Styela clava: one gene and its partner. The protein of the gene in region 2 interacts with the protein of the main gene of each other region in a biochemical or structural test. Links are inferred from orthologs where the notes say so. Each region holds a gene or a part of one and is shown on either strand. Other genes may lie near its edges.

The links.
Region 1: the proteins of AP-1 complex subunit gamma-1-like (region 2) and clathrin interactor 1-like form a complex in vitro, tested with the Homo sapiens proteins (2 studies listed by BioGRID). The link is inferred for Styela clava from reciprocal best matches to the Homo sapiens genes AP1G1 and CLINT1.

The regions. Positions count from the first base shown.
Region 1 is NC_135256.1:17,756,016-17,768,138, forward strand, and holds clathrin interactor 1-like, read right to left. Parts: upstream 5,789-12,123; 5' UTR 5,748-5,788; coding exon 3,852-5,747; 3' UTR 2,056-3,851; downstream 1-2,055. UniProt on the Homo sapiens protein: Binds to membranes enriched in phosphatidylinositol 4,5-bisphosphate (PtdIns(4,5)P2). May have a role in transport via clathrin-coated vesicles from the trans-Golgi network to endosomes. Stimulates clathrin assembly.
Region 2 is NC_135263.1:916,273-928,957, forward strand, and holds AP-1 complex subunit gamma-1-like, read right to left. Parts: upstream 5,016-12,685; 5' UTR 4,964-5,015; coding exon 2,438-4,963; 3' UTR 1,440-2,437; downstream 1-1,439. UniProt on the Homo sapiens protein: Subunit of clathrin-associated adaptor protein complex 1 that plays a role in protein sorting in the late-Golgi/trans-Golgi network (TGN) and/or endosomes.

The DNA of each region.
Region 1 (12,123 bases), on a different chromosome or scaffold from region 2:
AACTCAGGTAACATCTAATCAATAAATTGTCTTTGTCAAATAGGTTTGAAAAATGAAGCCGTCAATAAGAATGAGTCGGTACAGCATGGATGTTGTTGGTTGAAAGCCACAAGTCAGCTGTCATATGAATACTTTAAGCCAACGATAAATTGATTTGCTTATCTTGCACCCTGCGTCTTCTGAGCACTGTAAATGCTGACCGTGCACCGCATGCTTTTTGTGGAGCGTACCCTCCATTCGGAAAATTTATTATCCTAAAATCGTAACTAACCTAATTGAAACTAATTCCACATCAATGAATTTTGTTATGGCCAGGGATGACCAATTCGAATTTAATATTCGAATGTCGCGACCTTCGAATATCGTTTTCAGTGTTCACAAGAATACCGAATATCGCGCACACATTCCAGCGCCGCCGTCCACGTTTTTATTGAAAACATTTTACAATTACTTTTTTTTTATCGTTATCGAAGACAGACATGTGCGGCGCGACAATAAATTACAGCAGAGATGAAAGGATTTCAATTAGCGCCGACAAGAAGTGCTTATCTTATAACGAACACGTCGAGGATGTTTTTGATTTCAACTTAGTCGAGATAGTTTGTGCGGCCGTGGCAATAAATCTAATCGCAAATTGTGTAGGAATTGGTTTCATGATCACTTGCGATAGTGACCAAACATAACAGTACATTTTCGCATTGCTTGTTGCAATTCACAGCGTATAAAATAGCTCTCAAGTATTATTTAGTATCGCGGATTTTACCTTCTCCCGGCGTCGTTGAGGATAATATCATTCAGCTTAAGTTGACGGTATTAATTCACAAGCACGATTGAAAGTATAACAACCGACAAGAAAGATTTAAGTCAACTCGAAAATAAAACACGGTTTTCGGTCTTAATTTTTCGTCATTGGCTGATGGAATTTAGGGAATCGGATTCACTCAGTTGATTATGACGATGATTGCGCAATAACATTTGCGTCTTTTTCTGAATTAGGGAATGGTGGAGCAAAATAAAATTTAAAGCCCGTGCTAGCACAACAACTAGTGCTTGTGTAGAGGGATAATTGTGGCGGAATTTAGCTTAACGATGTAGGTGGTCTACTAAATAACACTCACGCAGACGAAAAACAGTCAGAATTTATAACAAAAATTAACCGTGTCAAAAAGTGTGTGCGCCGATGAGAACTTTGGATTTTCCTGTAGAATTTAAAACATTTCACTAGGCGAATAATTGCTCTTTTTTCTGCGCTTGCCAAGATACACCATAGGTCATAGGTGTGAATACTGTGTTTATCATGTCTCTTTTTTTAGAAGCAAAAAAAACACTAGTTTCAATATTATCACATATTCCATTTGTACTTATAGCTGCTTTAGAATGATAATATTATTGAGCTTAATTTCTTGGTCCATGGATTTTAGAAAAGTGAATAAAATATGTGGGGAATTTTAGAATATATTCGGAATTCCAGATTCGAAAATATGTTTTAGAATGTATTCGAAATAGTCAAGTATTCCATTATGGCCATCCCTGGTTATGGCGTAGAATAGTCAATATTTATTCTCGTTTCACCCCGCAATATGGTACTACATTTGACACATACCCGTCAACCATTCACAAGCTGCGATTGCAAAAAATGGGAGGCAAGGCGGCCTGAAAGCAAATATCAATGACAAAACGAGCATTCCGACCAAACACACAACAATCTGACTTTGAAGACTGAGAAAATTACCACCCTGACAATAAACAATTTGCTCTTACAAAAGTTGGTCCCAACTGACTAAAATCCTAGCTTCGTATTTCATCAATAGCACCACTTAGATTGGGAACGTTTTGATGCCGGCAAATGGTGTCCAATTATCAGCCCAACGCTTCAGACCCCACCAGATAAAAACCAAAATCTCAATTTAGACGACGAATATTTCTACTGGAACCTGTAAAACAATATGACCGGTATGTCAAATAAGAACGCAAGATTTTTTGCTACAAAGCTATGATCTGACTCATCTGAGCACTCCTGATTATCATATTGTGGACAATAACACACTCTTCATCTGGGAGAAATCCTGTTTTTGTTGATATTTTTATTTTTCAAGCAGCATTTACAGAAAGCTGACAATTTTCATAACAATTAAATACCACTTGTAAATATGGATTTGAGGGGGAAAAAAACAAAAAATTCTATGTACAATATTGTTTATTATCAACAATTGGTTCAATAAAATTAAAACGTATAAGGATACAAGCATAAACATAAACGGCCAGCTTTTTCACCAGAACCTATTTAATGTTTTACCCAATATAGAAATCATGTTAGAAGTGAAATTATGAACTAACAGTAAAGCTAAGAATAATATAAATATTTAATTCAACTAATAAAGTGTAGCCTAATAAGTATCTACAGCACATCAAGCCAAAACATTTCATAGGTTTAAACGATAAATATATGAAAACACAAAATCAGATGCATGCCTAAGACTGGAAAACGGGCTAATCTTAGGAGTTGCATTTTATCATCATGTTCATGACAATTTTAACAATTCTGCTTGAATCTTATGCAAAATAATACTTCTATTGGTACCTACTGACACAGAAGAATTATTTGTAAAATTTGAACAATTCCGCTACAGAAATCAATATCATATCCAGGGTAACATAACAAATCACATAGAATCGTATACAGCTATTTAATTTCTTCCATGAAAAAGTCTTAAGCCAGTTAAGGATTATTATAATCGCACCACTGGGAAATCAAATTAAAAAATATAGAAACTTTTCATGTTTTGAAAGGGTACTGTAATTTGTAATGCACATTTGTAATACTTTCCGACCGCAGGCAGGTTATGTGAAACATACAATTAAGCACATTAACTATTCCTACACAAAGCCACCAAAAAGGTGACATCATCCAAATCTACATTACAACCCATCACCCTAGAAATCATAAAAAAAAGCAAACTAAACTGGAATGCCTAAAACAAAGAACAAAACTTTATAAAAGCAGGTGCCTTATCCTATCATTGAAAGATAAAATAACTATCGGATATTTATCTATGATACGGGCATTTCAAAAAGTAAATAGTACATTGTGTGCACCTCGTGAAACTAGTGTCACAAAGTCACTGTATGAAATAACTTTCAAAAAAAAACGTAGTAAATTTTTCTGATCAAAATACAACTATTTCCTGTTGATATTTTATTATGGATTATCAAGGCAATTTGAACATTACCTACGGTATCACAAATTTAATATGAATCGAAACTTCATACAAATATGAAAGCTTTTGCTCCACTTAGGTAGCAAGATTGATATGCCTGAATCAAATTTGAGAAATGATATAGAGAAATAACATGCACAGTTTAGCCAGTACCATTATAATCTTACAGTCGAACAATAAATGCCTGTGTTACTGTGTATATAACCTAATAGGACTACGAGAGATCAAAATCACATCAATAGGTATCGAAGGAAACGCTATATTAAAATAAAATGCACTTGTTTGGGATCATAAACCTAATAAGTACTTGATTACTACAATCAAATAATTATTAAAAAAGATAAATTTTAGGGCCATCAGCTATCTTTGTTATAATTTTTTATATAAATAGATACAAATACAACAGGTTGTTGGAATACTTTTATTAAGATTCATATGCCAAGTTGGGTGATTGGTGTTCATTATTGTTAACAAAAATAATCATCCATATGAAATATAGCATATTTAAAATTTTACCGAGATAGGGATCAATACTCATGCATCTTATCTGCATATTTCAGGTCACTAGAAGCTTCAATTGCAATCATGCATATATGCATCGTCATTTGAGATGGTTATGATCTAAACGTCTTTTCAAAAAGGTTTATTATAATTATTTGCTGCAGGAACGCCCTGCATTTGATACATTCCTCCCATCCCACTCCCATACATTTGATTCATATTATATTGACCCATATTCGGTTGTCCAGCCATTCCCATCATGCCCATGGGTTGAGTGGGCGGCATCATATTGCTGTTAGGCATCATTCTCATTCCTTGCTGTCCCATTGGAGCACCCTGACCCATCATTCCAGGCATTTGAGGTGATTGCATACCGGGTGCCTGTCCGGTCATATTCATTCCTGCCATACCCATGGTAACATTTCCAACAGGCGTACCTTGTTGCATCTGTCTCATAGATGGCTGGGCAGTTTTTTGAGATTTTCCAAAAAGATCCAAATCAATGTTAACTCCTTTAACATCACTCCAAGTATTGGGTTTTAGAGGTTTCGATGCTGCCGTTGATGCAGGTGTAGCACTGATTGGCTGGGATAGTGAAGATGGAGCCATTGTTGGTTGATTCGGAATGAGAGGAGCTGAATTGGCCTGCATTAGATTGGGTGACGTCGGTGACATCAGATTGGCAGCGGGTTGCTGGGGAATAACGGGAGTAGTAGAATTCATCATATTAAAACCTTGGTTATTATACATATTCGTAGGATTCATCTGTGGCTGTAGTTGAGGCATTTGCGGAGCCATCATAGTTTGCTGCTGCTGCTGCGGCATTTGGTTACCTTCAAAGGATGCAAACGGGTCTAACGACATTTGTGGCGTTGATGTGAAAAGATCGACATTTGAACTTGATGGCGCAGCGTTAGATTCAAAATTGCCGAAATCCGCAAAATCGCCATTAGTTGTAGTTGCTTCCTGGGCTACATTGGGCGCACTTCTTGTAGTGGCTAGTGAATCAAAATCTGAAAATAAATCAGGCTGCTGCTGGCTTTCTGTAGTACTAGATCCAAAGAGGTCGAGAGTATCAGCTGTTGTACCTCCTGATGATTTGCTCTGGCTAGATCCAGATATTTTAGCGGGTTGATCACCTGTATATTGAGCTGCTGCACCTAAGCTAACTTTTTTTGAAGGTACAGCTTTACGAGGTTTTGAAGCATTATTGGTAATCGCAGGAGATGATATTCGCTTTGGTAATTCCTCTATCGTTTCTTTATCGCTGTGTTGTTCTAAGCTTTCAACACTGAAACTGTATTTGACACCTCTTGGGGATTCTTTCCCCCTTGATTTGCGATCATTATCAGTCGGATCAAAATCATCACTGTACGCAGCTGAACCATTAGATTCATTTCGTCTGTGAGTGTCACGTCTCCCGTCTGATGGTGAATCATGATAGGTATCCGATCCTGAATGTTGGCGACGATGGCGATAATAATCATCTTCATCATATCTCTGTTGTGTTCTGAAACCAAATTTGGATTCTTCGTGAGACATCCCCACATATTTATTTTTGTTCTTCTTACATTTTTTCCTTTCCTCTCGCAACCTTTCATTATCTTTGACGAAAACTACCAACTCTTTCGCTTTATTTCTGACGTTGATGCCTTGATCTTTGCCGTGTTCATCGTGAAATTGGAAATTTTGTAATGCTCGGAGGTCGTTAATATGTTCACGAGTGCTGGTAACAAAACGCTCTGATCCATTGCGCAACAAGTACGAAACCACTAAAAGTCCTTTGTAAATCCGACGCCAGTTGCTTCTGCCTTCATGGAATATTCGTTTCCACAGCATTCCTGTAACTTCTGAATATGTTTCATACATGAAAGTGTCATTTGCAAGTTCTTGCATCAAACTTCCTGAAGGACCCCACGGTTCATCATTTGTGGCTTCACGGACTCGAGCCTCCACCTCTGTATAATTCATTACAACATTGGTAACTTTGTCGGTTAGTTCCCGAATTTTCCATGGTAGAAGGTTCATATTAGCTAATGAGAAATACCAAAATATATATTTTTTTTTACCTGGAAAGCATAATTTAAACAAGTTATTACATTGAAACTATAAATAATACATGTTTGTGGTTAACACAACCGTATTAAAGATAAAATCACTAGTATTACCTGTACTCGCCAAGTGACTGGTGGAGAGGACCAGCAGCACACCCACTGCAGTGACCAGACACCACCAGGGCACTCGGATATCTCACTTTGTCAACTTGCTATATGTGTCGCAGAGTGCGGTTTCTACTGGTAGAAAAATTTGTGATAATTTATATTTTTTTTATATTATAAAATTCGAGTATTGGTTCACATTTCTTCAGGGTATGTAGTATAGAATCATACCAACCTGGTAACTGTGAATTCTTTACTGCCAAACTGGTACAAAAAATATCCTATATTTCATCACCAATCCAACTTAGTTCTACTACTTTGATATTAGTGGCTATACCTATCCTATTCTCACATCAAAACAGATATAGCCACGACTTCCCACTTACGGTTTGAACAAAAAACATGACCAATTAAAATAATTCAATATTAAGATCAACGACTGTTATACACCACTTGTTGCTCCAATTTTAAATGTTCATGCAGTACTGCTCCAAGTCCATGCCTGCCTGACCCATATTACAAGAATGCTACTAGTCAGAAGTCTCTTTGACTCTTCAAATAGACACTGTAATGACTCATTCATATACAATCTTGAATACCAGTATACAAAGGAAAACAATCAGTTCAAATGTTTGTAATGTTTTTGCTTTATGGTGCCAGATGATTCATCCAAGTCTTATACAGATATGGCAACCGCTTGTCCTTTTTCTGAGTCCAGTAATGAAATATATACTGCTAATTTATTAGCAAAGGCTAACAAAAATATGTATCCCAATTTAAAAAATGTTCAGCTAATGAAAGCATGAATTTATCAACTTTTTGTGACCCTTCAAATGTCAACATTTTCTCTAATAAGCCTGGCAGCTTCGCAAAAGAATAGTTTTGAAATATAATTTTTTTTCATATATGAAGTATAGGCCTACAATTTTTTGATGAATTTTCAAGTTCATATGCGATTGTCGTACTAAACACTACATACACCCAAATATTGTACTCAACTTGCCTTGTTTTGCAATATTCTTGATTCATTTTACAATATTTACAAAGTAATTGATATGAAACAGTTACGTTAATTTAAAACGGGTCATACTGTCCTAAAACTTGATTTTGTAGATTAATATTTACCATATAAAATTACGATTGTTTTATTGAAAAATCAATAAATGGCTTTGAATAAGGATATCAAATTTATCCACCAAAACTAGGTTTACATAATGTTAAAAGTAAGTCTGTTTTATGATCAAATGATTTGTTAGGGAAATAATATGTAGTCATCAGGGATAGCCGAAATCTAATAATATGTTATTTTGAACACATTTAAAATGGGGTTGTAGCCGATGGGAAAACTAGCAGAAAACATTAATTAATACAAATTGAATTTGATAATGCAGAATAGTTGTGATACACCTTGTTTTGATAGATTTTCTATAATTTTTAATGTCAGAAGTTACATTTTTTGTTTGGCTGTTAAATAAGAAATGTGTAATATGACAAATTTTAAAATAAAAATGTTCGAAGTCATTAGTGAAATAAAGAATTTACTATATCCTGAAATTGAATACCAGCATCATGCCGTATGTTTAGTTAATCATATAAAGATAATTTTATTTGTCATTTTTTCATCTGCACAACATAGCCATCGGGTAACATGAAAGTCACTAATAATAGATAACTTGATATTCAGAATATCATTTTGTTAGCCAAAGCACTGTCTGTATCCTCCAAAGATGATGGGTGAAATAGTACAGTAGTAGGAAAGATCTACATAAGTCCAAGTAGTATATACAGATATATCTGTATATTACACACAAAACTGCATAATGCGATAAATTTTGTTCTTAATAACTTACGGTAGGTCTTTGGCCACCTAGGCTATATCTTACTCTCAATTTGTAGAATTGGATATCCTTGTACAGTTGTACAGACAGAAAAAAGATAAGTTAAGCAAGGGTTTTCGTTTTATTTATAGCAGTATAGCGCACGCAAAAAGATCTTAAAAATGTTAATGAAATCGTAATTCTGTAATTGACGCCTATCCAGTCCGTAGTCTGTCTGTCTTCTGGTCCTAACCCTGTAACCTGTCGAATTATTATTGAATTGACACCGCTGCTGCCTGCTAACACTGTCAGGGTTGCCAGATCCCAGCGATCAAAAAAAGCCAAATCAAGACGAAAAAAAGCCAACAATTTTACTAAGTACAAAAGCCTCATGATTTGTCTGATTAGATGCCCTTGGTACAATGATGGGTTTGCAATATGCTGATGTAGAGCCATCAGTTCATTTAGTGAGCCACACAATCGTATGTTGTATTTTCGGTTGCAATTTCCACTTCAGCAGGATGACGGGTTTAAAGTAAAAAGGATTAATTGAATGGCAGCAACAGAATCTATATTCGACACAATACAGTCAAGCTGACATCTATATGAAAAAGTTAAAAAAAAATCACAAAAAAAAACAAATAGAAAAAGATATATCAAGCAGACAGCATTATTTTAAAATTCAATATATACAATACAGGGTGGCTCTTTAGTACTGTAGTAAGTGATATAGGTGCCCTAAAACATTCTCCCTAAACATTTAGAAACCATCATTTTTATTAAAAAAAATTATCCAACCCCCTGCCCGCAGGTGGACTACTGCAGTACTGATAGCTAATTTTACTGTTGTTGATCATATCGTTCGTGAGACTAAATTTTGATTACTGCAACTAAACTAAAGTTCCTGCAGTCCTGGGATAGCTGGGCATAATGTCAATTAAGTTATTTTTTGGAAACAGAACTGAAAACTGACAAATAACGCGCAAAATAAAAAAAAAACGAGGCAATGTCAGAATGTTTACTGCTTGACCCTGCTTACTGCTTGACCCTGCTTGAACATCTATCTGAGCAGCTGCAGAAACTGACATTATTTTTAATTCAGTAATTGGTTATGGTTAAGATAATGAACAAGGAAATCGATGCTCGGGGAAATCCAAATGTTACGGTAAGTAGCAATAGGTTGTTGTTATACACTAAATATAAATATTGTATCTCATATGATTTTGATAATAGACACTAAAAGAGACCTAAAAAAGCCAAACAGAAATTCTGACGCCAAACGTGTTTGGAAAAAGCGAAAAAAATGGCAAATTTGGCCTTAAAAAGTCAATATGGCAACCCTGAACACTGTACCACCACATTCAGACATTGTCTCACCTGCTCACTGTTCTGCTGTGCAGTGTCAGTTGTGCTGGTGTTACAGACAGAGCCTGGCCCTGGGCTATACCCAGATAACAGTATAAACATATCTTCAGTTTTATTCAGTCTAACCTTAGATATTCCGGTTTTGTCAGTATTTTGCTGTGTTAGGGCGAAAAATAATGGACTTTAATATTTGTAGCCTACTTCCCATTTTTGTGTCAATTAACTGGTCATAATTCTGGAATTATTTTGCCATGGGGTAACTGAGTTTTTGTGTTCATATGGTACTAGAGTGAACTATAGAATATCTTATAGCCTAGATAGATTATAGATTTCTGTTTTAACTAATGTTTTTAATTTCATTGACAAATGTCACTCTTACCACAGCACCATTTCTTCTCAACCTTCCGACTTCTAACAACACGACATTCGCGGACATCAAACTGGCCAGTGAACCGGCCGATAAACTTTGTCACGTCGTTACGCGACTCATTTGCCTTTCTCTTTTTTATTCGCATGAGTAAATTGTATTTTCTCCCTGAGGGCGTTGGATTTGATGCCATACTCATCAAAAGGCTTCACATTATTCGTCGCCTGAGGCTATATCTTGCATTTTATTTCTGATAGAATATTTACTACACTATTCATTTATTTTATTGTAAGCAGGATCAATTAAAGTACTTGGCTAAGTACTGGAAAAGTTTCACCAATGCACATTCTTAGTTGCTGAAGAGTTGCTTGGATGTTTAGCTACCAAATAATTTAACACAAAAAATAATACAAATTCTTACTCATGCTTTGGTTCGCAAACATGTTTAATTGCACATTTGCCTAGCATTGAGTCGATTGTATCTGGGTTGTCAACATGACGAGGGAATGCCCTGAAGCCGGACTCGTGGCGCATCGTGCTAAGCGTTAGAAATACGCTTGCCACAACACCTCTGATTACCCTTCGTGGGTTCTCAGGTTCGAATCCCATATGTGAGATGATTGCTGGACTCCTCGCCGTCGTAGGGTGGTTCACGTAATCGCTGGTCGGCTACAATTCCCTCCACCATCAAGTCTATACATCTGAAAACGAAATACCCGACTAACTAAAATTCGTACAGCCCGTAGATAAAATCGTATTAGAGTGATGCTTTTTGCCGCGGCAATGGTCGCACACTCGATAATATTGAATCAAATATTTTTCGGAACTAAACACTAGCAGCATGTACTCTTCGTACATACATTTTTATTGATATAAAACGCAGATTATCTGACAGTTACGAACTGTAGTCAGAATTCATCGCACAGTATATAATCAGTATCAGCCTAAATATATTATTAGGACAAATGTAAATGTAAAATCTACGGTCGTTATTTCCAGGATTATTTCTCACCGAGGTAACCTATAAATAATGTAATAAAATTTCCAAATTTTAAAATATAAACTGATAAAATAAACATAATGAAATTGAAATGCAATTTAAATTTTCTTTTTTGACATGTACTGAGCCAGCGCCTAATTCTAATAGAGATATATATGCAGAATCCCTATATTTTTATGAAAGGAAACTGTTGAAAAAAAATAAAGTTATTCAAGAATGAAGTGTGATTTGACACGGATTCAATTTTGAAGAACGGGATTTTGCGCTTAAGTAGTTGGGGAATATTATTTAGCGAGTTGAACTTTTAAAAATGAAGTTTAAAATTATGGCATTTGGTCTTATAATATTATTTTGTGTAATCCGTACCGTAGGAAGGGTGGTGGTTATGAGAAATAGGTACACTCACGACCCAGAAATGTTCCAATATGGAATCCCAGGGCACCGTATGTAATATCACTGATATTGCCGCATACCCCGTACCCCTTAATGAACAAATCCAATTGTTTTTTATTGACTGAAACGAGATTAATGAAAAAATGTGAATAAAATGAAACACTCGAAATCATCACAGTGAAAAGTACAGTGAAATGTCTCAAAAGAAACATAAAACACATGACAGGGTTAGATCAACTCAAGTAGAAGTCGAGTCTTGCAAATCATTAGAGGTAAGTCTCGTCTAACTTCATTTTCGCTGAAGAAAGACGGTGTACTTTTTGACAACGTGTAACTTCGGTCTAATCGAAGTCGGACAGTATCCAATGTACATTTCGGGACTCAGATGACCATGCTATTTCAAATTAAAGTTCGAGTCGAGTCGCTATGTTTAAAAACATACGTCATTTTAATATAATCGTCGTTTCCAAAAATGTTCCTAAAGTCTGACTCGGGTTTACACATGCCAAACCAATACACACACACTTACACTATATGAAAAGATACCACGAGTACAAACAATAACAATACACGTTTATACACTGAACTGTCATTGCCATTAAACGTGTAATGACATATTGATAACCAAGTTTGAATAATATGTTTAAACACGTCGAGTCCTAGCGCCACCTCGCCTAAGATATGATAAATTGGGTAACCAAAGCCGAACCTGCTTGCGGGGAGTCTTGTTTGGAGTGGAAAGGTAATAAAAGCGCCACAAAACAAATATTGTGGATTGGTTTTACAGGAAAGCCGAATTAAATGTAGGTGATGTTAACACATCGGTTACTTTGGTGATCTTAAATACAGTGGCGATTTGTCACCTCGCCTGAGAAAAATATATAAGTATCTTTGAAAGTTCAAGGTTTAACAGTTCTTGAATTTTTTAAATCGCGTTTCATATCACAGTAAATACAACAGAAAGCAAAATGTTTCAAAAGCCACTCCACAAAATTCTTGTCGAAATGCCAAATTTAAAAAAGTTCAAATGAATTACCTATAAAGATTCCGTATGTTAGCTTTCTGTTATGAATTCTTTTATGAAAATTTGTGAAATTATTTCTAAATACTCGTTACTCTGACAGTATTGAAGTGAATTGCTTTGAGTCCCACATCAATCGTCATTCAGAAACATCTCTGTCACAACAATGAATGAAATCGTTGCTCTCAGCAAATCAGTGGTATCAGTCACACCAATTCCTTGTAAACGATGACCCACGACCTTGCTTTGAGCCACCTCGAATAAAAAAAAATACTATTACGT
Region 2 (12,685 bases):
CAAAAATTTCAGACAGCCTTAGTTTGAAACGAATGATTTTTACAACCCCTGACCCAAAAATCTGTTATGTTCTGCAAAAGTGGAAAAAATTGTGAATTTGATAATTCAACATAATAAATCAATACCAGATATGAGGAAATTATAACATAGAAAATATAATAGCCTAACTTCATATATACAAAGCAAGGTTGAGTTGAAAGCAAATTGGCAGAATATTTACATATCAAACAGAAGGTGTAAATGCTGCCAGTTCTGCTTCGGTGAAATCTAGTTGAAAGCAAATTGGCGGAATAATCACATATCAAACAGAGGGTAAGGATGCTGCCAGTTTCACTTTGGTATTTCTCTAACAATTCATTTTGTATTTGAAACCAACCCATACTAAATTATGAGGCAAAGTTGAGTTGAAAGCAAATTGGCGGAATAATTACATATCGAATAGAAGGTATTAATGCTACCAGTTCTGCTTCAGTGGTTTTCTGGACATTTACTTTGTGGCTGGCTGCGATATTGGTAACTCTATGTTTTGAGTTCAGATTTCGAGTATTACAAAAATTAGAAATGGAAGCCAGAAAATAAATATTTTATTTTTGTAGTGTTTGCAGTAATTAAACCTTACTAAACGCGACAATCAGACTTCAATAGGGATATTCAAACCATTCTATATATAAACGCATTTTGAGTAAGGTACAATTAATATTAGCTAAAAACTAGAAAAATGCACTGTTATGCACTTTCCAAATATCTTGAGGCAAAGGCATACTCTTCTAAAATAACAGGTCTATATATTAAAGAAGGCTCAAAATTAGACTAAGAGTTATTAAAGCATTAATTAATTGGCAAAAGCCCGGTAATGTTGAGTGAAAACTAGAGAAATAGCTTGCTCAATTTCGGGTGATCATTTGCACGCTTTGGACGATCATCGGTATACTTTGGGAGGGCCCTTTTACGTCATTGTGACATCTTAGTAACATCATTTTTAGATGACATAGTCAGGTAGAGGTTACAAATGGCGTATGCAAATATTGTTGAGCCTAGAAGAAGCCTACACCAGACCTGAAAAATGCAGTAGCAGATAGCATGCTATAGTGCTAGCTTAGAAACTTAATCGGATGGTTCACAATGAGAATTATTATAACAACAAAACGACGATCACAAAATGAAAAAATAAATGAAACAAACAATAGCTTTTTTTGAGTGATTTCTTTTTAACATATTTCTAGCAATTGTAACTGAATTATTTTTTCGAAATTTTAACATTCTGATTTTCTGTCAAAGATATGTAACGTTGAAAGGGCATAATGGAAGAACAAAAAAAAATATACAAAAAGGGTTAGATAGACATACAGTCAACTAAAGAAAATGTAATGCACCGTTGAAAATGATTTTAATTAAAGCATAGTTGGTGATTATGAAACATCTTAATTTTTTTTGGGGGGGGGGGGTGTAGGGGCGGAAGGGCGAGAAATTGATCATACTTGAATAAAAATATACAATTAGTAATTAGTTGGAGTAATTTGTTTGACTGGGCTCCATTTTGAAAACAGATAGAAGTCTTAAAAAAGAGATGGCCTAAACTGAATAATCTTTCACTCCAAATACAATGTAAATTTATATTTCTAAAAATTGAATACATTCTAAATTAAATTCAGCAAAGAACAGATACAATGAGATTATTATTTTACACTTCTTAAATATTCTATCAAGGCTCTTTGGTTTGACTTATAGGCGCTTCAGAAGTGTGTGTACCAATATGGAGGTAACTAATTTTGTTCGCCTACTTTACATCAAGTTGTGTGAAGGGACTGAAACATATGAGCAGGGGGTATATCCACTTGGCTAACACAAACAGTCGCCGAACTCGTAACGGAACTAAAATAGGGAAAATCAAAATAAAATTATGCCCTAACCATAACCTGGTACACATACTATGGAAGTACCGACATATTATACAGGTGTCAAGAAAGTCCCTTTAGTACATTTCAATTTTGATATGAAGTTGGTTCTCAATATATCTTAACCAGGATTGTTGTTTTTCAATCATTTTTACCTCATTTAATACATCTGTGAGGGCCAAAACAATATGGTATCGATAAATTCCCTTTGCAGTTTAAAAAAATTTTGAGACTTTAAGGACCCTATAATATATCAGAAAACCAAGAATTTTAAATATCGAATATAATTCCATAATATACCATTCCGAGTACAATAAGAAGAAAATGCAAACCCAGGATTATTAACTACCCCATATGCCAAGGCCTGATTGACAAAATTTGTTGGTGCGGGAACATTATATTATTACATCATAATTGGTCTAAATTCAAATATAACTATATAAATATATGATCTTGATAGTTTCAACAAAGCCCATTTTCGGGACAGTTTTAGTTTGTGATAATACACTTTTGAGGGGGGCAATGAGCCCACTTGAAACTCTCTACTGCCATGAAGCAGCAGGAAAATTATTCACTTCCCCCATTTCAGTAACAGGTTGTCCGTTGATCGTATATGAGATTCGTAGCCTCATTCTCAACGGCACTTTTCCTGGGTTGTTAATTTTGATTGGCTGTTCTATAGTGCCACCACTGTTCGGTGGAACCACGTTTCCTGATGGCGACAACATCTGGAGTTGTAGCTGCTTCGGTAACGCTGCTTGGAATACATAATCCGAAATTTCAGATGGGGTCTGGTTACTTGTTTTGACATTGATGGAAAGCACTGAGTCTCCTGGCTTCCTATCGAAGTAAAAAATAACTTTCAAACCTCCTTTTTCAAACGCTGTCATTTCTGGAATGAAATTTGTGGCAACAGGAGCCGGGTCACCAAGCATTAGCCCTGCTAACCCGTTAATTGCTGGCGGTGGGGCTGAACCCATAATCCCGTTCGTATTTGGCATAGCGGGTGGGGGAGACCCCATGATGTCATCGAGGAGATTAAGAGAATTACTCATCGGAAGTATTGGTTGTATAGGGGCCCCACCCATGGGCGGGACAATGGGCGTGTCCGATGCTGCGGAATTATTCAAATCGACTAAATCTAACAATAAATCAATATTGCTTTGTGGTGCTGCTGCTTCTTTCACTGTTGCCACATTTTGTTCCGTTTCTCTGTCTTCCAATTCCTCCCCATAATTTGTTTCAGATTCTCTTTCGATCGATTCCGCCGGCGGCTTTTCAAATTTCGGCATCGATTCTAAAACACCAGCACATAGATTATGATGCTTATCCAAGAGTGCACAATATTCCACAGCTCTCTGCTGTACCTCGGTGCTGTGTGAAACTCCAAAGCGCTCAATAATTTGACGAACTCTAGATTCTATGCCTGGTATTCGTGCACTGAGCTTCATTATTGCATTAATAGCATACGCTTTTGTTACGGGATTCGATAATGAACTTTCAATAGTGTCATCAAGAAAATCTAAAATCTGGTCGCCAGAGACTGGCTCAATTACATCTCCAGAATCATGATGCCCTTCAGCTAACTCGTCTCCATATTCTCCAAGACACCAGGATAAAACTTGAACTAAAGGCTGCTGGTCAATATTTTCAGGCATTTTTGCTGCATTTAGAAGAGAATTAACGGCGTAGGAATGTAATTTATCACTATCAGATAGCAGATGTATCAAACTTGGAACGGTGTCGTCTCTAACATAATTACCAGCGGTCGTGAGAACTTTCAACATCGTATCAATATGCCAGCGACGGTTAGGAGCGAATTTTTCCGCAGCTAGAAAGATTCCTGACGCACAGTCGGACTTGAAATCTGGAGGGCAACGGGTCAAAAACGCAAGTAACTCTCTAACAGTTCCTCTAACATTATGGCTATTCACAAGAGCAAAGCACAACTCCATTGCACGACGCAAAATCGAAGGGTCCGGATCTTTTAAACAATCAAGAACAGTGGTGCGATGGCGCTGCACAGCGTTCATATCCGTGTGGACTGTCCTCAGAAGAGAATTCAACGCTACATAGCGGATATTTTTATCATTGTTGAGAAGAAATCGGCCCAGAATGTTGACGGCAAGAACTCTCAGTCCACTTTCAGATTTGATATCCATGATTGTGAGGACCGTTTCATATAAAATTGCATTCCCAACGTTTTTACTAGTTTCAGTATTCGTCGCAACTTGAGCCAATATATCGTTCATAATCTCGCTAGCTTCGCCGTCGTGTGATCCAAGGATTCTTAACAATCGTAAAATACGAACTTGCAAAAATGGGTCACTAATTCCAGAAACATCATGCTCTGGCGAGTATCCAGACATGATTAAATTCTTCAAAATCCGCACGAGAGTCGGGCACAGCTTTTTTAAACTTTTCAAAACCGCTGGACTCGCTCTACACATTTCTGTGATCAAGGACACAGTTGCCAAGGCAACTCCATGGTTTTTATCGTTCAAACACGACTTCGTCAACGGGATAAAATTTTCCATCAATTCTGGTACTTTTCGAACGATTCTACATGCACAAAGAACAGCTTTCTTCTTGATATATCCGTTAGAATTTCTCATTAACTTTTCAACATCAGGTGCAAGATCTCGAGCCATCTCTGCTGATCCGACACTTCCAAGAGCGCAGAGAGCTAAACTGACAACGTACTGACTTGAATGGTCAAGATCATTCTTCAATGAATTCGTCATAAGAAGCTGGACTTCTCGATTTTCATCCAAAAGCAACATTACACCAAGATATCCAATTCTTTTATCAGTAAATCGTGAACTAGGGAGTAATTTCATCGTTTCCAACTGGCCAAAATGAGCAGGAAATCCAAGCATGTAAATATATAATAATTTTGCTACATTACGGCAACGAAACGTGGTATCAGTGTCGCGGAATCCGTTACGGATGTCTGCACATTCTTTATTGATAACAGCACGCTCCTCCGCAGCAGTTTTACAAGCTCGAATATTGCGAATCAAATCTCTCAGCCTGATAGGTGTATGTGTCGTTACATTTGCAAACATTGTGATACAAATAAATGTTTAACCTAATTGTGAGATCTAAAACACATGAAGTAAAAACAGGTGTCTGTTACGGATAAAATTTTCATATTTATCCAGGGGGAGAGGAAATACAATAACAGGGCTAAACTACGTGGAAATTCATAGCTTCTTGTCCATACCCATATATAAATATACCCAACTTTGCATTTGACAGTTTGATTACAAACTGTGGCCAACTGCTTGTATCATAGCATTCAGGAGTTTACAGATTCATTAAATGAATAATAAAGCAGCTGTGATATGGGGATGGACTACTTCAATGACTTTCCGTTGTATCTTCGGGTCTGGTATAGTTTAGTACCACATGTACTTAGTTGACCTGGCTCAACAATTTTTGCATATGTCAATCCTAATCCCCACTTGACTACGTCACCGAAAAATTACCTCATTTCGACGTCACAGTGCCGTAATAAGGCCCACCGAAGTATGCTGATGCTCGTCCAAAACGCACAGACGATCACCCGAAATCGAGCAAGCAATCTTTCTCGTCACAACGATCACTATAGGAGAGAGATCGCCGGCTTTAGCAAGTTCATTATCGGCGGAGCAGATGTCATTTCGGGCGATCGCCCGAAACTAGTTTTTATGTTTGCTTTTTAGCTTTGTTTGTTTATAAAAAGAAGCAGCTAACCAATTAAACTTCACTAAATTCAGCAATTTGTTACCGGTAAATATTATGTGTATATCGCTATTACTCTCTCTCTCTCTATTGGTATTCATATTTCTACACAGGCACGGTAATATAATTTTCAATTGTTTCTTCAATTCTTCATGAATTTCACTCATTCAAATTTTTTACAACTTTACAAGCAAGCTTTGCTCATGAATTTTATTTTCTCGTGTTCATGCACGTTCATGAATTTATCCTAGTATGATTGTATGATTATCGTGATGTATTTTCACTTGTTCGATGAGTGTGAGTAAATGGGCACAAACACTGGTTACAGTACAGCGATCGTTATAAACCTTTATATCAGTACGGCACACTATACAAATCGAGTGACATTGTCCCGTTTCAGAGAAACCAATTTTACAGATGATCAGACACCCCTCCTTTGGTGGACGTCTGGACATTGTTGTCCCTCCGATTTACCAAAGAAAAAAAATGTTACCATAGCATTCGAGAGTTTTCAGCAAAAAACGGCAACTTTGGTCATGTGACGTCCGCGATATATTAAGATTATTATTGAAACAAGCATGGCGCGATATGAAGCATCTGATGTGGTCCAGACGCCCCTTGTTTGTGAGACACATAGAGCGTTTGATTTATTGAGCCAAATGGAGGGAAATTCTTGGAATTTGGATAGTGTGCTGTACTGTATATAGGTTTTTCCCATTTTCCTGTCGCCATTGTCTGTGTTTTTTTAGTTGTGTTCTGTGTTGTAGACAAAAGATCGAAATAAAATTGTATTGTAATCGAAACCCCAGGTCGCTTAAACGTAACGCACATAAATGGCCAATTTTTGTTAAATAACGTAACGCACCTAAATGGCCAATTAAATATTGTTCGGCTTCCTTCTCCCGTTTTTCATGATTCTATGTTAGACTCCCTTAAAGGTGGCGCAGTTTTTTATGATGCTATGTTACACTTCCTCAAAGGTGGCGTTTTGGGGTCTCATGTAGTTTCTTACCTAACATACTTCTAGTGGGCGTAGAATGTCAATTTTTTCACGTATCAATCCTAACCCCAACCTGACTACATCATTCAAAAATAACGTCATTACGACGTCACAGTGACATAATAGAGCCCTTCAAACTATACGAACTGCCATCCAAGACGCGCAAACGAGCACCCGAAATCGAAAAGTTATCTCTCTCGTTTTCTCGTCGCAACGATTCCAATAGGAGAGAGACCGATAACGTCAGTCAGTTCTTTATCGCCGGCGCCAATGCCATGTTGGTCGATCGTGCGTATATTTGGCAAGCTCTATGACGTGATTGTGATGTCGTAGCAATTTAATTTTTGGATGGCGTAATCAGGTGGGGGTTAGGATTGACATATCAAATAATTGTTATGCTACGCCCACTAGAAGCACGTTAGGTACTAAACTACGCGAGACCCGCGTTTTGTGGCAATAAATCTTTCTTACTCTTCTTGCTCGATAACCATGACTGATTTATCGCGTCTCCCTTCATGCTGAAATACATTATTTTATATTTTACCTTATTGTTTGTATACTTTCGTATATTCGGTATGTGAAAAAATAAATTACTGATTCAGTGATTGGGTACTGCAGTACCGTACTGTAAAGCCTGAAAGCCGTAATCCTGTAATCAACAATCCCAGAATTTTGGCTCAACCTCAACCCTAGCCTAACAGTAACAAAACTTAAAATGATAAAATTTTGTTATACAGTTGTCTAAATATAAAAATATGCTCAAGAGTTCTCAGTCATCTGCATATATCTTAGAATCCATTAATCATATTTCCCATTTCACACAAATCTAAAATCAGGCCGATGAATAGAAACTCATTATAGCAGGCAAACACGAAACCCCACACCTTCAGAATTTCCCGGTACCGTAACTGATGACGTCATAGCGTTATTTTGCCATTGTCCGGATTAGCATTAATAGGATTTTCATAATTATTTCGGTAAGAAAAAATCGATAAGGCGCCTTAAGCTCACGGCGAACCACGGCCTTTCGTCCTGTTACCAGTTCATGTCGGGTACGGGATTAGTTAACAAGAGAGCTATGCTCAAATATATGAACACGTAGCTCCACCCAGTGGGAAAAATTTTCATTCAAGCATGAACACACCTGCTCCCCTGATTTCGTTTAGTATGAGCAATGACATTAAACAACATGATGCGCAACTCCGGCATTTTTGGCCGAAGATCGTAATCGATAACACGCTCCAATGCACATACTTGACGAGACGAAAACGAGCGGATGTGTGCTGCTTTCAAGGCATAGCACGAATGATGTTAGTGCTTGCTTTGACAGTTGTTGTCGATTTTAATGATATTTTGGAAAGTTAAGTTAAAAAGAAATCGGAAAAAGGTAAGGTAAATACTATTTTTGTATATCACACCCGGGCATCGCACTGTTAAGCTTTTTCAAATACTACGAAGTTATTAATTCAGTACGGTACGTAGTTGCCCATTTGCTGAAATTGCATATTTAATTACCCCTTATGGTTTCAAATAGTTCATGCATCTCCATTTAGATTTTTCTAACCAATGAGGATATATACGCATTGCTGTAACGTACTATTGCTCAATCACTTTTATTTGCGTATTGATTCAAAGGGTTAACAAGTTCACCTAACATTTCACTCATACCGGTCTATATTGTATAGTATGATGTAATAGTCACGACTTTTTCAATTATTTAAAACGGCCAAATAAGTCATCTATGTATCTGGAGGACACCCTTCCTTCTGAGATTGAAACGCATATAAATTCTCTTACTAATGGTAAGGCAGAAGGTCATGATCGTATACCAATCAACCTTTTGAAAGTTCTAAAAAATATCATTAGCCCTGTTTTATGTAGACTTTTTAATGCTTCAATGTCTCTAGGAATTTTTCCCTGCCATTTGAAAGTAGCCAGAGTTGTGCCCGTATTTAAATCTGGAAATAAGTGTGAAGTATCAAATTATCGCCCTATTTCAATATTATCATGTCTTGCTATTCTTTTTGAAAAATTATTACTAGTTAGATTAAAATCCTTCTTAGATAAACATTCAGTACTAAATAATGACCAGTTTGGTTTTCGTAATGAACATAGCACTTCCCATGCAATAATAGACATTGTCAGTCAGTACTATAACATTATAGATGAAGGCTCAGTAGGTTGTAGCGTATTTCTGGACCTTAAAAAAGCGTTTGATACTGTCGATCACAGCATTTTGATTACCAAATTAAGTCACTATGGTATTCGCGGAGTTGTGAATAAATTGTTTGCGAGTTATTTGCATGACAGAAATCAATATGTGTCATTAGGTGGTTCTGCCTCACTGAGTGGAAAAGTCTCAGTTGGAGTTCCGCAAGGGTCGGTTCTTGGACCAACTTTATTTTTAATACATATTAACGATATCGTAAACGCTACCAATGCCTCAATAAAACTTTTCGCTGATGACACAAGTTCTACGTCTGCAGCAAAAAATCTGCCTGACTTGGAAAATAAAGTCAATGCAAACTTGCTGAATATTTCTAACTGGCTCACTCTAAACAAACTTACTGTGAATCCTGCTAAGACACAAGTCTTGTTAATTAATTGTGCCAAAAGTCTTGAATCCTCTAACATAACTCCAAAATTTACCCTAAATAATTCGATATTGACTACATATGATTCTGTGAAGTACCTAGGAGTCAACCTAGATCACAAACTAAATTGGCAAATTCACATTGATCAGCTCGCTCGTAAGCTGTCAAGAGCCCTTGGTGCTATGACCAAATTGAAACATCTTGTACCTAAAAGAGTTTTAAGAACTGTTTATTTTTCGCTTTTCTACACTCATCTTCAATATGGAATTGTGGCATGGGGCTCTGCTTCTAAGACTTATCTGAATCGAATCAGTGTTTTACAAAATCGTGCGTTGAGAATATTGACTAGTACACGTTTGCGACAAAATTTAAGTCCGATCTACAAACATATGAACATCCTCAAACTTATGGATGTATACAATTTGGAAGTGGCCAAAATCATGTTTTGTTTTAAAAATGGTATGCTGCCTGATGCGTTTGAAAACTACTTTACAAATTGTAGCGATGTTCATGGATATAATACTCGGTTGGCTGGTAGAGGAGCATTTTTTGTCAAAAGGACAAATTCAAGCTCGGCTCGGAGTTCTATAAAAATAACAGGTCCTTGTCTTTGGAACAATATTCCTGATGACATCAAGGAATCATCCTACAACAGTTTTAAGTCTAAATATATGAAGCATCTCATTGACAAATACTAATATAGAAATCTGTTACTAACAGCTTCATAATAATCCCTCCTAAACCTTTGGTAAATCTTGATCTCTCATTGGGAAAGCATATTAGGCATTTTTGCAATTCATGCCACCACAAAACTGTTTTGTCTAATACTCTATCTTATTTTTATATTCTCGTCAAATTTATGCGTGTTTTACCTATATCCTCAAACCCACTGTATAAGTAGTAACGAAATCCCCTCTAATATCCTTGTGTGAATGAAACCATATACTTCAAGCGATACCGTAAATTGTTGATAAATTGAGTTTTTTTTTTTTTTTTTTTTCCTCAATATACTTCAAGCTATACATGCTTTTGATCTGCATAGATATTCTTATGTAAAATATATGTTTTATTACTGTTGTATAACTCCCTTATTAAATATTGCAATTATATAAATTAGTTCCATTGGAAGCCTCCAATGAGTTTTATTCTTTGCAAATTATCCTCCCACATTTATTCTGTGTCATGCATTATTGTCACCACAAATCTATTTTAATAACTACCCTTTCATTGTTGTTATTAATTACATTATTTTTACTTGTGTTGTATAAATATTGTTACTTTGCTCTCTATATAACTGCCTAATAAAAAAAAATAGTCTGTATTTGGTATTACGGCCAATAAGACCTAACCTTCATTTTTGTGTTATGGATCAATGCTGTATGTCTGTTTTAATGTACAGCCCTAGAAATCTTGCCTGAACTGTTCTATTATAGTGTGCAAATTTGTTTTGCTGTTTTATCAACTGTCAACTTATCTGATTATTTGTGTCTGCATATATATGCTGTTTTTTGTGTACATGGCATATTCTTTAACTATATCTTTAAATCTAACAAATACACCCCTGATATCTTTGTCTGAAAGCATATTTTTCAAGGGATACCCTAAATTGTTTATGAATTCAGTTTTTTTTTTTTTTTTTTTGACAACCCATCACCATTTATCCCTTAGGTCAATTTATTACCCACTATGCCATTATTTGGAAACCATTATAGCTCATACTATACGTGCTTTTCATTTGCATAGTTATTATTATGTGGAATAATCATTTATAAATGTTCTGTTACTGTTGTATTATTTCCCCTAAACACTACATTTACTTAATTGAGTTCCATCAAGAGCCTCCTTTGAGCCTTTCTCTTTGCAATTTTTGTTTCATACTTGTTCTGTATTTGTACATTATTGTCACCATAATTCCATTTTCAATAACAACCCCCATCATTTGAGTATTCTTACTTATGCTGTATAAATATATATATATATATCTTTACTGTACTCTATATACTATTGTTAACATATGTGTACCCTTTCTTGCAACATAAGGGTCTGGAAATAAACACTCTGTGCATTATTACCAACAGTCCGCATTTGGTTTTATGGCCAATTAGACCTAACCCTCAACTATTTTATGAATCAATTGCTGTTTGTTTGTCATAGTGTGTAGCCCTAAATAACACAATTTGCCTGAACTGTTCTATTATAGTGTGCATTTTTGCTTTGCTGTTTCATCAACTGTTATTAACCTATTTAATCATAATATGTTCCTGTGGATACCATAAATTGATGCTGTCCTTGATTTTTAGAGGGTCAGAACTCATATGTTGTCTAGCACCAAGATTAATTTATTACCCTCTATGTCAATATTTGGAAACAAATATAACTCATACTGTACTAGGGGATTTATCATATATGTTCTATATTTCTGTGGATACCATAAATTGTGGATGCCCTTATTTTTTTGTGGGTCATAAGTTGTATAGCACCATGGTTAATTTATTACCCTCTATGCCAATATTTGGAAACAAATACAACTCATACTGTACTAGGAAATTTCTGATATATGTTTTGTTATTTACATTGATGAGTTCCATTGAATGCATTCTTTTTGTTACAATCTTTGCAAATTTTCCTCCCATACTCATTCTGTATTGTACATTATGACACCACTAATCTGTTTTTATTGATTATCTCATTTTTTGTGATTTATTCATGTTGTACCAATTTATATTTATATTTACTGTGCTCTCTATACTACTGCTAAAATATTATGCACACTTCCTTCGTCACATGGGTACTGAAATTATACAGTGACAATTCCTTGTTACTTATAGTATGCATGGGTTAATATGGCCTATAAGAAGACCCCACCTTAAAAATTTAATGAACTCATGCAACCTGTTTATGCAATATTTAAAAGTGTGCAATCTTAAATGACATGTTTTTCCTAACCTGATATTTCTTTATAGCGTGCAATGTTGTTCTATTCAACCATCAACTATTTATTAACCCGTTTAATTCGTTAATCATACTGTACTTGTCTTAGTTGTCCATCACTTTCATAATTATCCAAATGATATAAGAATTATCCTATATGTTTGATTACTGTTATATTATTTCTTTTGAATATTGTATTTATATAAATGAGATCTTTTGAGTGCCTTTATTGAGCTTTAATATTTACAAATTTTCCTCCTATACTTCATTGTGATTAGGTCAGTTTGATCACCGCATTGGTACATTTACATTGATAATGACCATGCTGAAAACCTCTTGAACGCCCCAACTATACTAGATCCAGGATGGAGTGTAATTATTTTTATTCCCAGTACTCCTCTCAAATCTATTTTTATCAATGCGGACCCTACGAACAGTAATTTGACTGACTTGTATACATCACCCAAAGGCTCAAGTTTTTATTAGCAAAAAATATTTCTCATAGCATTAAGTCAGCAAACATAGATATAGTTCGAGTT